3 linked regions of the Oryzias latipes genome follow. The protein of the gene in region 2 purifies or fractionates together with the protein of the main gene of each other region. This does not show direct contact. Links are inferred from orthologs where the notes say so. Each region holds a gene or a part of one and is shown on either strand. Other genes may lie near its edges. The genes, in order: ppm1a, tripartite motif-containing protein 16-like and satb1.

Region 1 (3,649 bases), on a different chromosome or scaffold from region 2:
TGTGATGGCATCTGGGATGTTATGGGGAATGAGGAAGTGTGTAGCTTTGTGAGATCAAGATTAGAGGTTACGGATGATCTTGAAAGAGTCTGCAATGAAATTGTGGACACCTGCTTGTACAAGGTATGACACGTTCACAAAACTTTCACTTGCATGTTCCACTACTCAGTCTTATACCAGACTTTCATTTAATGTATTGTTCTTTATTTTCCGCAGGGAAGTCGAGATAATATGAGTGTTGTGTTAATCTGCTTTCCTGGGGCCCCAAAGGTATCTCAAGAAGCAGTGATGCGAGAGATGGAACTGGACAAGTTCTTGGAGGCCAGAGTTGAAGGTAGTTATGAGAAACTTACATTTGTCTGAACTAACCAGGTCTATTTAAGTAGCATTTTAGTACTTGCCTACTGTATGGAAACTTGTTTGAGCATCTTTATTTGTGTAGGCTTTTTAACATGGCAACAACTGAGGCATGCAATGTTGAGACATAAATGTATTTATTGTATTTGCACTTTTGATTGTATTTTACCCTGTTAAATCGTATGTGCTGCTAAACATGCTGGCACTTGCACTGAAAAACAAAAGTATTGTCAGTAACTTTCACTTTAGGCAAACTCTCACTACAAAATTTTCACGTAAATATGAGAACCCTGTTAAATCAGTCACATTTATTGCTTGGGTAAGATTTGTTTCCAGCATAACACATAGCAAGAGATCTGAATTCTTCAGACTAGCTAAACAATTATTTTGAGGATTTGGAAAGCCTTTTAATAACTGAGGGTACTAGATTAGTACCACCTGGACAATGCAGACTATTTTTGTTTTAATGCGCTTTTTTAATGTTGTGAGTCTACGCAATGTTTTATCATCACAATAAGTCATTTAACATTAAAATTCATTCAGTTTGTCAGATATAAAAAATCTGCTTGTTTATTGCTGTTGTTTTCATTATTAGCAGGTCTTTTGAAATTGCTTATGTATTATTGTGGAATGATTCATTTCTCTTTCTGCAAGCTATGCATGATTCATTTTACTTTTAGTGTAAAATCTTGACTTGCCTATAGTGAGTGGACAAGAGCATTTTGAAAGACAGATCATTTAAAAGTATTTCTACACCAGAAAATGTTATAAATAGAAGTAAATATTTTATTACTAAATGTTTTTGCTCATCTCTTAGGGCTGAGGATTTTTTTTAATTTGCAAGATCATTGTGCTACAATAGACCCCTTTTTTTTGTTTTTTTTTGTAAGTGCAAAGCTGCACTTATGTTCTGGTCACATTACACATAAGAAAGTACCATATCCAGGCCAGTAGAGCTGTGGTTCCAGACCCCTGTGCCATGCACCTGTACCGGCCTGTGGGAGAGTTGGTACCGGGGCACAGAGGAAAAAAAACAAGAACCCACAACTGTTCGTTTATAATCTTATTCCTAAAGAAGTTTTATTTTGGGAAAATAGGGGATTCTCTCCACAACCGTCTTATTCTTGTTGTAGGTCAAAAATCCATCCGCCACCTTCCTAAAGCGGCTGAACCGGCCGCTAAATTGAAACCCCCAAGTTAGCAAAGTTTAAAAAAAAAAAACGGATTTGGATCAGTGCTGAAATAAATCCGTAAGGAAACCGAAGATGAGCCTTCAATGTCAAAGAGAATAGAGAATGTATGAGTTTAACCTGCTATGCTAGACTTTAAAACATCATTGCCCACAAAAGCTACTCAACACAAATGTCAACAGCAGAACACAAGTGTCACAGAGAAACTATTTTAGTTGTGTGGATCTGATTTAAGATCGAAGTCCATCGAGACGACTGTTGTTGTGATTTTGGGCTATACAGATAAAATTGAATTGAATTGAATTGAATTGAATTTAGATTTCTGGATGAAATGCTAAACTCCTAACTGCCAGCATGTTGGGTACGTTAAATATCACCCAACAAGGTTCACTGCTGCAGGAGCAAACCAGAGTGCCACTTGCTTTTGTAAATGACCATCCTGTTGTTTTCTCCGCTCGCAAAAACAAGCTGGTTCTAACAGTGTTTAAAGTATCCAGTTTAAGTAACAGGAAAGACGTAGATTATTTTTGTCACATCCTAATAGTAATATTCATCCAGAATATTGCTGCACCCCTTTCTGCTACAACAGCTTAAGCTCATCTGGCCGTGCTTTTTGCAGATGTTTATAAGAAGGTTTGACCGATCTTTAAGAAGCTTAAGGGCAAACACTGATGTTCAATAGTTAGGTTTCCTACTCATGGTCTTTGGTCTAATTCACCCCAAACCCAAAGGTCTTCAACATGGTTTAGGTCAGGAATTAGTCCAGATTTTTCAGGGCACCAAACTGGCTCATCTTTATGAACTTTGCTTTATGCATTAGCATGGAGTTGTCCAAAATCTCTTGCTGTGCTTAAGCACTGATTTTTTGTTTTTTTTTGTTTTACTTTTTTTTATTGCAATGAATCTAAAAGGCCAAGCCACGTTTCTGTTAAACAACCCTTCACTATAATTCTTTCCCAGCTCTGGTCCTTGGACACGCTGTTCTGGATATATTTAGTATTTCATGCTGAAGCTCACCTGTTTCTTATGACATTCTCAGGCTTCTGCTGAGCTTGTTGAGGAGTTGGATGTGGTGTGTGTTTAACAAGTGCAACATGGAAAAAATGCAGACCACTGTGCCCTGAGGACCAGTGTTGAAAAACACTGTTTAAACTGCCCCTCCACCAAAGTCGACATTTTGCATTTTGATAATAGTCATTCTCTGGCAACTACGAAGTGGAAAAGTTTGTCACTCTAGAGAAAGTATCTCCACTGCTCTAGAGTCCAGTTCTTTAAGCTGCTGCGTCATACAAAGCATTGTCCTTCATGATGCATGGTTTGAATGCAGTTGGTCAGCTATAGAAACGCATTCCATGAGTATGTGTTGTTTCTGAACTTGGAGGTCTGCACGGATCTATTCTGTCTAAAGTTGGTCATCTCTGCACATTAGGCACCTCAGACCTGCTGATCTTGTTCTGTCAGTTTACGTGCCCTACCTCTTTGTGTCCGAGTAATGGTTCCCAATTGCTTTCATTCTGCGTTGACAGTGGAATATTTAGTTGTGTTCAAATGTGATGACAAAGCTCCTCATTGTTTTATAAATTGACATGCGCATTTAATTCTTCCAGCTCACCCGATAAAGTCAACAGACAGTAAATAATAGAATTTCCAGACATCTGTTAAATGGCAAAACCAATGTGTTTTGTTGGGGGGAAAAATGCTCTGGTGTTTAAAAAAAAAGTGCTTAGTGTATAATATTTTTAAGCTTCTCACACAAACATACATGTAAATAAATGTGTATTGGAAAATAAATCTGTTCAATTTTTTTTTTTTTTACAATTCCTTTCAGAGATCCTTAAAACTGAGTGGGATAAAGGTACTCCTGATTTGGTCAATGTTATGCGAATGTTAACCTCTGAGACCATACCAAACCTCCCTCCGGGTGGAGAGCTGGCAAGCAAGTACGTCTTTTAAATTTTTAATATTAACTTATTTGACAGTTTTTCTTAAAAGTGAATTCAGTATCTGTAACTAGGCAATTGTAATTGTAACCGCTCACATTTAAATAAATTGAAAACTAATAGTTTTTATTCTTTATCCTGTTCACAGACGAAGTCTTATTG
Region 2 (4,287 bases):
TTGTGATTTGCACAGCAGGTGCTCATGGGTAATGTAGTCCAGGGTAAATAAACCTGGTGTGCAATACAGACCCCCTGTCAAATACATTCAAAGTGCTTTCCAACGCAATAATGTGGAAGAGGAATAAAAAAACGTTGTTTGTTCTATTTTAAGGTAAGAGAAAAACAATTAAAAGCACAAAACATGTTGCAGGAATAAATCCTTAAGTGTGTGTAGATGGACAACATTCATACATGTTACTTTACTCCCTGGTCTATATGTTCTTGTTACTGTTTGTGTTTTGAAAGAGTAAGAAAAGCAACACAATCAGTAGTCAGCACATAAATGAGTAAAACTGAATCTGAAAGTGCACCCCCGGCCACAAACTTCACTGCCCGTCACTGGAGTGCACATGCACAGCATGCATGCACGTAACAACAAACTTCCTGTTGGACCGCTGAAGACCAGGAGTCTGCATGTTGGACATCAGTGTGAGGGTTCAATTACCACTGTGGTTCAGGAAACAGGAGATTTTTATTGTTACATGATCAGAAACCACTTTTCTCTGAAGAACAGAGACATGAAAACACAAATCTTCAATTCAAAGTTGTCAAATGAAGCAGAAAGAACACAAAGTTTTAAATGTTCTTCTTTCCACAAACACAATCTTCTCCTTCAGCTTCTTCTCTTGGTGTTTCTGTGGAGAACAAACCAGAGAAAGTCTGGGATGGTGACCTCACTGACTCCATTTGTGTTGCAGCTTCCTTCAGTTCCCATGACAACAACACAAAACCATTGGAATCCCAAAGTTCAAAGAAAACAGATTGGACTCCCAAAAGTTTGACATTCATATTCCAAAATGTCTCCAATCCACATTCTAGAGATTTTCCTTTCTCTCCATTTCTGACTACAAACATGACTCCACAGAATCTGAACAGTTCAAAAGTTTAGTTCTAGATGAAATCACTGAAAACAAACATTTCACTCCTTTCTGAAACTAGTTCACTTTACACAACTCTGCTGTGGATCCAGAACCCACCCACAGTCCAACATGGAGCGGCTGAGTGAAAGTGGTCTGGACTCTGTGGAGGAGAGTCATGCTTCCAGAGACGCTGTAGAAGGACAGAACACCTGCTCTGTGATCCAGGTCCACTCCTACTCTGGAGGAACCAGGAGCTGAGATGGAGGTTGCTATGCTGTCGTGGTAAAATGAGAACCTGTTTGAAGAACAATCTAATGACCAAGATTTATCATTAAAACCAAATTCACTTTCTCTTCCAGACCTGCTGATGTTGTCGTATGCGACTGCTACACAAATAGGTTCTCCTCTCCACTCCACCTCCCAGTAACAACGTCCAGTCAGACTCTCTCTACTCAGAACCAGAGGATAATAAGTAAATCTGTCTGGATGACCAGAATCACACCAAGGTTTTCTCATATATTTCACCTTTCTGTTCTTCTTTGACAGTAACAGTTGTCTGTATGCTGTGTTTGGATCCAGTGTGATTTGACGTGAATATCTGAGGAAGTCAGCTCTGCTCTTTGATTCTGGTTCTGACAGTAAAACGTCCACAAGAGAAACCGTCGGTGAGATGTTTGTCCATTCCTCTCTCAGAATGTCCTGCAGTTCGTCTCTGAGCTCTGACACAGCTGCTGTCACATCCTCAAAGTATGTCAGAGGACGGACATGGATGCTGGCTGAGGGGGTGGACTCACTGAGTGGGGGCAGTGAGGGGTAGTTGAGCAGAAAGTGGCTGTGATCCTCTGTGAGCCAGAGCTGCTTCAGCTCAGCGTCTCTCCTCTTCAGCTCAGCCATGTCCTGCTCCAGCTCCTCCTGAAGACCTTTGACTCGCCTCACTTCAGTTTGCTGCTGGGATCTGATCTGCTGCTCCACATCACGGCTTCTTTTCTGGAGGAGACGGATCATCTCAGTGAAGATCTTCTCACTGTCCTCCACGCTTTGATCAGCAGAGTGATTGATGGCCTCCAGCTCCCGTTGAAGCAGCTTCACCTCTTTCTCTCTGTCCTGGATTCTCTGCTGGATTTGTTGCTGACTCTCCTCCAGCTCTCTCTGCTTCTCAGTCCTTTCTGCTGCAGCTGAGACTGTGTCGTGGCCTCTGTGTTCTTCCACAGAGCAGAGATAACAGATGCTCTTCTGATCAGTGCGACAGAACATCTTCATCACCTCATCATGACGGGAGCAGATGTTCTCCTGCAGATTCTTGGAGGGTTCCACCAGCTTGTGTTTTTTCAATGCAGCTGCTTTCAGATGAGGCTGAAGGTGTTCTTCACAGTAAGAGGCCAGACAGCTCAAGCAGGACTTGATGGCTTTCAGTTTTCTTCCAGTGCAGACGTCACAGACCACATCTTCAGGTCCAGCATAGCAGAGACCAGCAGGAGCAGCTTGGAGTCCGCTCTTCTTCCGCTGCTCCACTAAAGCTGCTAACGTGAAACTTTTCACCAGAACAGGCCTCGGTGTGAAGGTCTTCCTGCACTGAGGACAGCTGGGGACTTTCTCCTCTGTATCCCAGAATCCTTGAAGACACTTCATGCAGTAGCTGTGTCCACAGGGAATAGTCACCGGATCCTTCAGCAGATCCAGACAGATGGAACAGCAGAAGCTTTCTTCATCCACATCTGCTCCTTTCTGCGCCATTTCTCCTCTCAGACACACAGACTCTCTCTGAGAGTTTCACTTCCTCAGAGACCGGATGACTCTGATCCTCCAATCAGATGGTTTCACTGTGAGTTCAGCCAATCAGCTTCTCTCTTCTCCTCCTGTTGGTGACGCCCATCATGACAGAGGAGGAGCTGCAGATGAGGATGAGGGGGACTTTAGAGAAGATGGCTGTTAGATCAGGATAGAAACCAAACAGCATATTTGTCAAACGCTCTGTGTCTCATCAGCTCAGACTGTTGCTGCTGTGCAGCTCTGACTTTAACTGTTTCTGCTGCCGAATCCTGCTATCTTTCAGTCTGAACGTGCTCACTGGTTGCTGGTGTTTCCAGTTTTAGAAGGAACACTATTTGCAGAGCACGTTACTCTGCTTTTGTCAGATTTTTAAGAACTAACACGTCCACACAGGCCCAAAACACGTTTATGAGTCACTGGAAAAAAACTGCCAGACAAATTCTGTCACTATTGAAGAAATGTATGTTTTCTATCTTATTCTTTTTTACTACTTGAGGTTTGAATCTTTAGTGTGTCGTGAACTCTTTTTGAACCCTAGAGGCTTACCTCCTCTGGCATTCCAGTGGGGGGATTTATGACTGTAGATACAGACCCCCCTTTGAGAAGACCGAACCTTTTGTGTGAAGCAGTAAATTAGTCATGGACCACTTTTCAACCATCTGGATTGAAGATCCAAACCCTCGGAAACGAGCCATAAAAGTACCTGTGATGAAGTTCTGCTGTCCAGCTGAATTACTGTGGGGAGATGGGGTAACCGTTTTTCAGATCCAGAGGCTGCATCTCCAAATATGGGCCGGCGGAAGCAGGCGGGCCCCTTTGTCAGCGAGTCCGTGTGTCCAGGGGAGGAGATTCGGCCGCCAAGATAAAACTTTCTTCTGATGAACTTTTTCTTTGTCCTCAGCTTGGCTGCATCTGAAGTCGCATGTAGTTTTTGTGCATTTGCAGATTTTATAGACTGAGAACCCAGATATCTGCTTTTAAAATGTTTTAATCTGTTCTAGAACTTTTGTTAGGGAAACAAAACTTTGTGTTTTATCCGGTCGAACCATTTGCTTTGCTTCCATCTCTCCCGACTCTTGAACACGCATGGAAAGATCTGAAAAGCGAACAGATCTTTTCCAACACTGTTTTACATAGAAATACCTTAGACCAGGGGTGGTGAACACGCGGCTCTCGGGCGGCACGCGGTTCTTGGCCAACGAGCGTGCAGCTCTTTGCGTCTCATCATGTTTTCTATATACTGCGCCTCGTTTCATAAATTTTCCCTCTTAAACCACACTCTCACCATCAGAGGGTATTAAAAATGAATAATAATAAAAGTAATTTGGCAGTGTGTGTGTTTTGCTCCCGACACATAAGTGTATATATAAGAACACATAAACATTAGATGTGCTGCTGCAGACTGTTACCCTCATGGTGAAAATTGTGAAATTCAGAATATAAAGATAAACACAGGACGTTTCTGGAAGAACGGGAAGATTCTTACTTTTTCACTGAACAGAATGGCGTCACTATGTTTATTATTATGAGCTTTTGGAAGCAGGAAAATAGTTCATGGCAGAAAAAACAAAACGTATCCCGGAGAAAATTAAAAACTCTTCCTGATCTGTCAAAAC
Region 3 (3,649 bases), on a different chromosome or scaffold from region 2:
CGCGCCCATGCAGGCACGCGCCCACATACTTTACAAAGTTGTGAACTACTTTGTCTCCTCCCCAGGCCTTCCACAGGTCAACATTTCATCCAAAACCAAATGTATTTATATATATAAATATAGATGTATAAAAAAATTTGAATTTAGAAGTTTTTAAAAGTATAGCTTAAAAAAACGACTAAATGATTGTAAATACATAAACAGGGAAACAATAAAGGGGTTTATTATAAAAGTTTTTAATAAAAATAATGATTTGGACTTAGAATTTTAAGTTGAAGATTTTTCGTCCACATTCATAATCTTAAATCCAAAATATCATTAAAAATACTTTTTCTGCTTTGGAACCATCCAAATTCTTCACTGAGAAACTGAGTTTGTGTTTTAAATTCTATTTTTAAGCGCCACGTTTGCTGGATAACTGTAATACTTTCCTCTGACTGAATGTGGAGATTCGCTCTTCTCAGGTGGAAGATGTTCTCAGAGCTCCACAGCCTCACGCCTAGCCAAAATCCCACCCATCAGGTGTTTTCTTTAATGCTTCTTTCCCTCCCCAGGTGATAGTGAGCAGAGGCGCTGAGAAGGATGGAGCATCTCAGCGAGACGTGTTTGGGCAAGGAGAACTCGGAGCTGGTCAACAGCATGGCGGAAGCCAAGGCCCCGCCGGCCAAGCTGCCCCGGCTGGAGCAGAACGGCAGCCCGCTGGGGCGGGCCCGACTGGGCAGCAACGGGGCCAAACTGGCGGGGGTCCCGTACAAGCCCAGCGGCCACCTGCTGAAGACCTTCCACAAGAGAGGTAAGACGGCGCTGCAGGAGATCGCGTCTGTTTCTCCTCGTGTGTCTTAAACGAAGAGGCGCCATAAAACCGTCACGGCGGAAAATCTGCAAATTCTCATCTTTTTACTGCTTAATTAATGACACAGGCATAATAATGAAGTTTTATTGTGCATAATTCTGCTCTTACAGAAAAAAGACATTTCTAGGAAGTTGCTTTTCTCCTCAGAAAAGTAGAATATTTTGACGTTGGTGCATTGAAACCAAAGCTAGGGGAAGGTTCTGCTATGCTGCCGTTTGTTTGCAGTGGGCAGAAGTTTCTTTTAGGAGCTTTGACAAAGTTTTATTATTAATATAAGTCATCTTCTTGAGGAAGAAGAAGGCGTCAGTCGAGTCTGTTTTTACGATTATGGTTCTGTTTTTAGTGGAAGTGAGATTCAGAAGTCAGTTCTGGAGTCGTAAAAGTTCTTGGCTGCTGGAGCTTTTTTGGTCTGTTGTTTTTTTTTTTTGGCCAATAGGGAGACAGGAGCTCCTGGAATGTGTCGCTGTGTCCTCAGATGGGTCATTTCTCCACTTTATTTTTTTCGTTTTTTTTATGCATCTGGGAGAAACGTCCGCTATTCCCCCCCCCCCATCCTTTCAGCTGTTTCTCCAGCATCCAGGCTGGCAAAGAGGGGGCGGGCTCACCTCTCAGGCTTCGCACAGGAGCCACAGTTGGTCCGAAATAATAATATCTGCCACGGCGCTCTCTGGGCTTTTGGAAACAAAGCCAGTATTGACCCCCCCCCCCCCCCCCAATGAACCAGCACAGCAGTCTTTATTGTCAGATCTGTATCTATCAGAATCAGGGGGGAGAAAAGCAGCCCTTTCAGCACATTCCTCTGCATTTGTTGGCCCGTCGATTGTTTGGTCGGAGCCCTGCGCATCTTCTGGAATGCCTAGGATCCGAAAATATTGGGATCTTTTTTTTTTGGTCAGCAGAGACGATAAACAAGTAGAAATCTGTCTGACAGCAGGACGTAAACACGGTTTCTTTATTCGGGGAGACGCTTTTCACTTTCCCTATTAAAACTTCTCTAACACAAAAGCACATTGGGTGAAATTTGCAGAGTAAACGTTCATTTTCTGGACCAGGACTCTTCATTTTTTAGTCGACCGAGCTGCTGGTGACTCCGTTTAGCAGGAGAGGCCTTTGCTTTGGGAGGAAAAGGCTTCAACGGTGATGTTTCCCCGTTTTTACCGTGTTTAACCCCAACGCGAGGTGAATTCTGCCTGACGTTGGATTCCTGGTGCTGATGGGAATGGGAGAGTCTTTGCACCGGAACTGCACTCTGAAAGATCATTTCTCCTCACCTAACTCGATCATCGGGCTAAATATGACTCCCTGTGAGCGGCTGACGGTCAGAGTCCTCACCCCCAGAACCCGGGTGTTGCCGTGTCTGCAGGCAACATGCTGCCGGTGTTCTGCGTGGTGGAGCACTACGAGAACCCCATGGACTTCGACAGCAAGGAGGAGCACGCCGAGTTCGTCCTGGTGCGCAAGGACATGCTGTTCAACCAGCTCATCGAGATGGCTCTGCTGTCGCTGGGCTACTCTCACAGCTCCGCCGCCCAGGCCAAAGGTGACTCCTCCCACCCCCTCCACCATAACTGCAACACACGCTGACAGATATCACACAGTGGCCTGCATGTGTGTATCTCCATGCACACGTGTTGTGTAGGTGGAGGCAAGACTGTAATTGCACAGGAACACATGCAGTTTGAGCTTTGCTATTTTAAGATGCATATTTGTGCGCGTAGTCCATCCCTATCGCACACACGCACACACACACACGCACGCAAACCCTGACTCACACCTCTCCCCTGCTGACATCACAGCACGCCAGTGTTGCAGTTTTAAATAAAGCGCCGATGGCGAGCTCCGCTCCGGCCCACGTTGACGCGCTTTCACCCCGCAGGTATGATTCAGGTGGGGAAGTGGAACCCCGTCCCGCTGTCGTACGTGACGGACGCGCCGGACGCCACAGTGGCCGACATGCTGCAGGACGTTTACCACGTGGTCACGCTCAAGATCCAGCTGCACAGGTGAGGAGCACGCCGTGTTTACATGCCTGAAATCAGAGGATGAAACCTGCTAAAGGCTTCTCAAAAACCTTAAAGGAAGAAAACTTCCCATAATCCAGATTAAGACGTTTGATTTTTGACATCCTGGTTCATTTGAAAATCCCCAACTTTCCTGCTGAGCAGTTCTTTGTGGTGTTGAGGACATAAAACACATAAACCTTCAGAATAAAAGTCTTAATTTCTGCAGTCGACTTGGCTTTCAGAGTAACGCGTCTTAAGATCCTTAAGCCGTTTGTTGCTTAAACTAACATTTGATAATTCTGATAATATTGCGTATCAATCATGTGCATTTTTAGCGGTTACATTAATGCCAAACAAAGAGTTTTAAATAACTGCAAACACAGAGCTAAACCTGGAGGGAAGATGTGGGCGGTTGTTTGGTCTTTGATATAAATGTCCAACATTCCTGATTCTTCCTCTGAAGTTTCAAAAATTCAGGAAAAAATCTGCAGCTGAAAAAGTTTAAATGGGAAAAACTCAAGAAGACATAAAATAAGATGTAAAAAAAACCAAGACAAGACATGGAAATTGTCAACTTTTCAGGATGGGAGGAGCTTCATGAGAATGAAAATCTCACGTGAAGCTCCTCATCACCTGATTCAAAAAGCACGGTCAGTTAATTGTTGATACCAGCACATGCGTGTTTCTGCAAATGCTTTATTTTTTATGCTAAAGCATTTTTTTATGAATGGACACCCATCTTTTTCTGAGTCTGAGCTGAACGACTGTTATGTCAGTTTATTAGGGTTTGGGT

What was found.
Region 1: the proteins of tripartite motif-containing protein 16-like (region 2) and ppm1a purify together in Homo sapiens (affinity purification with western blotting; 3 studies listed by BioGRID, with this or other methods). This does not show direct contact. The link is inferred for Oryzias latipes from reciprocal best matches to the Homo sapiens genes TRIM47 and PPM1A.
Region 3: the proteins of tripartite motif-containing protein 16-like (region 2) and satb1 purify together in Homo sapiens (affinity purification with mass spectrometry; 4 studies listed by BioGRID and IntAct, with this or other methods). This does not show direct contact. The link is inferred for Oryzias latipes from reciprocal best matches to the Homo sapiens genes TRIM47 and SATB1.

What each region holds. Positions count from the first base shown.
Region 1 is NC_019880.2:12,122,303-12,125,951, reverse strand, and holds part of ppm1a (protein phosphatase 1A), read left to right. Parts: coding exon 1-123; intron 124-216; coding exon 217-334; intron 335-3,375; coding exon 3,376-3,487; intron 3,488-3,635; coding exon 3,636-3,649. UniProt on the Homo sapiens protein: Enzyme with a broad specificity. Negatively regulates TGF-beta signaling through dephosphorylating SMAD2 and SMAD3, resulting in their dissociation from SMAD4, nuclear export of the SMADs and termination of the TGF-beta-mediated signaling.
Region 2 is NC_019864.2:31,029,821-31,034,107, reverse strand, and holds tripartite motif-containing protein 16-like, read right to left. Parts: upstream 2,835-4,287; 5' UTR 2,636-2,834; coding exon 977-2,635; 3' UTR 495-976; downstream 1-494. UniProt on the Homo sapiens protein: E3 ubiquitin-protein ligase that mediates the ubiquitination and proteasomal degradation of CYLD.
Region 3 is NC_019874.2:30,130,707-30,134,355, forward strand, and holds part of satb1 (DNA-binding protein SATB1), read left to right. Parts: intron 1-554; 5' UTR 555-582; coding exon 583-793; intron 794-2,216; coding exon 2,217-2,393; intron 2,394-2,729; coding exon 2,730-2,856; intron 2,857-3,649. UniProt on the Homo sapiens protein: Crucial silencing factor contributing to the initiation of X inactivation mediated by Xist RNA that occurs during embryogenesis and in lymphoma.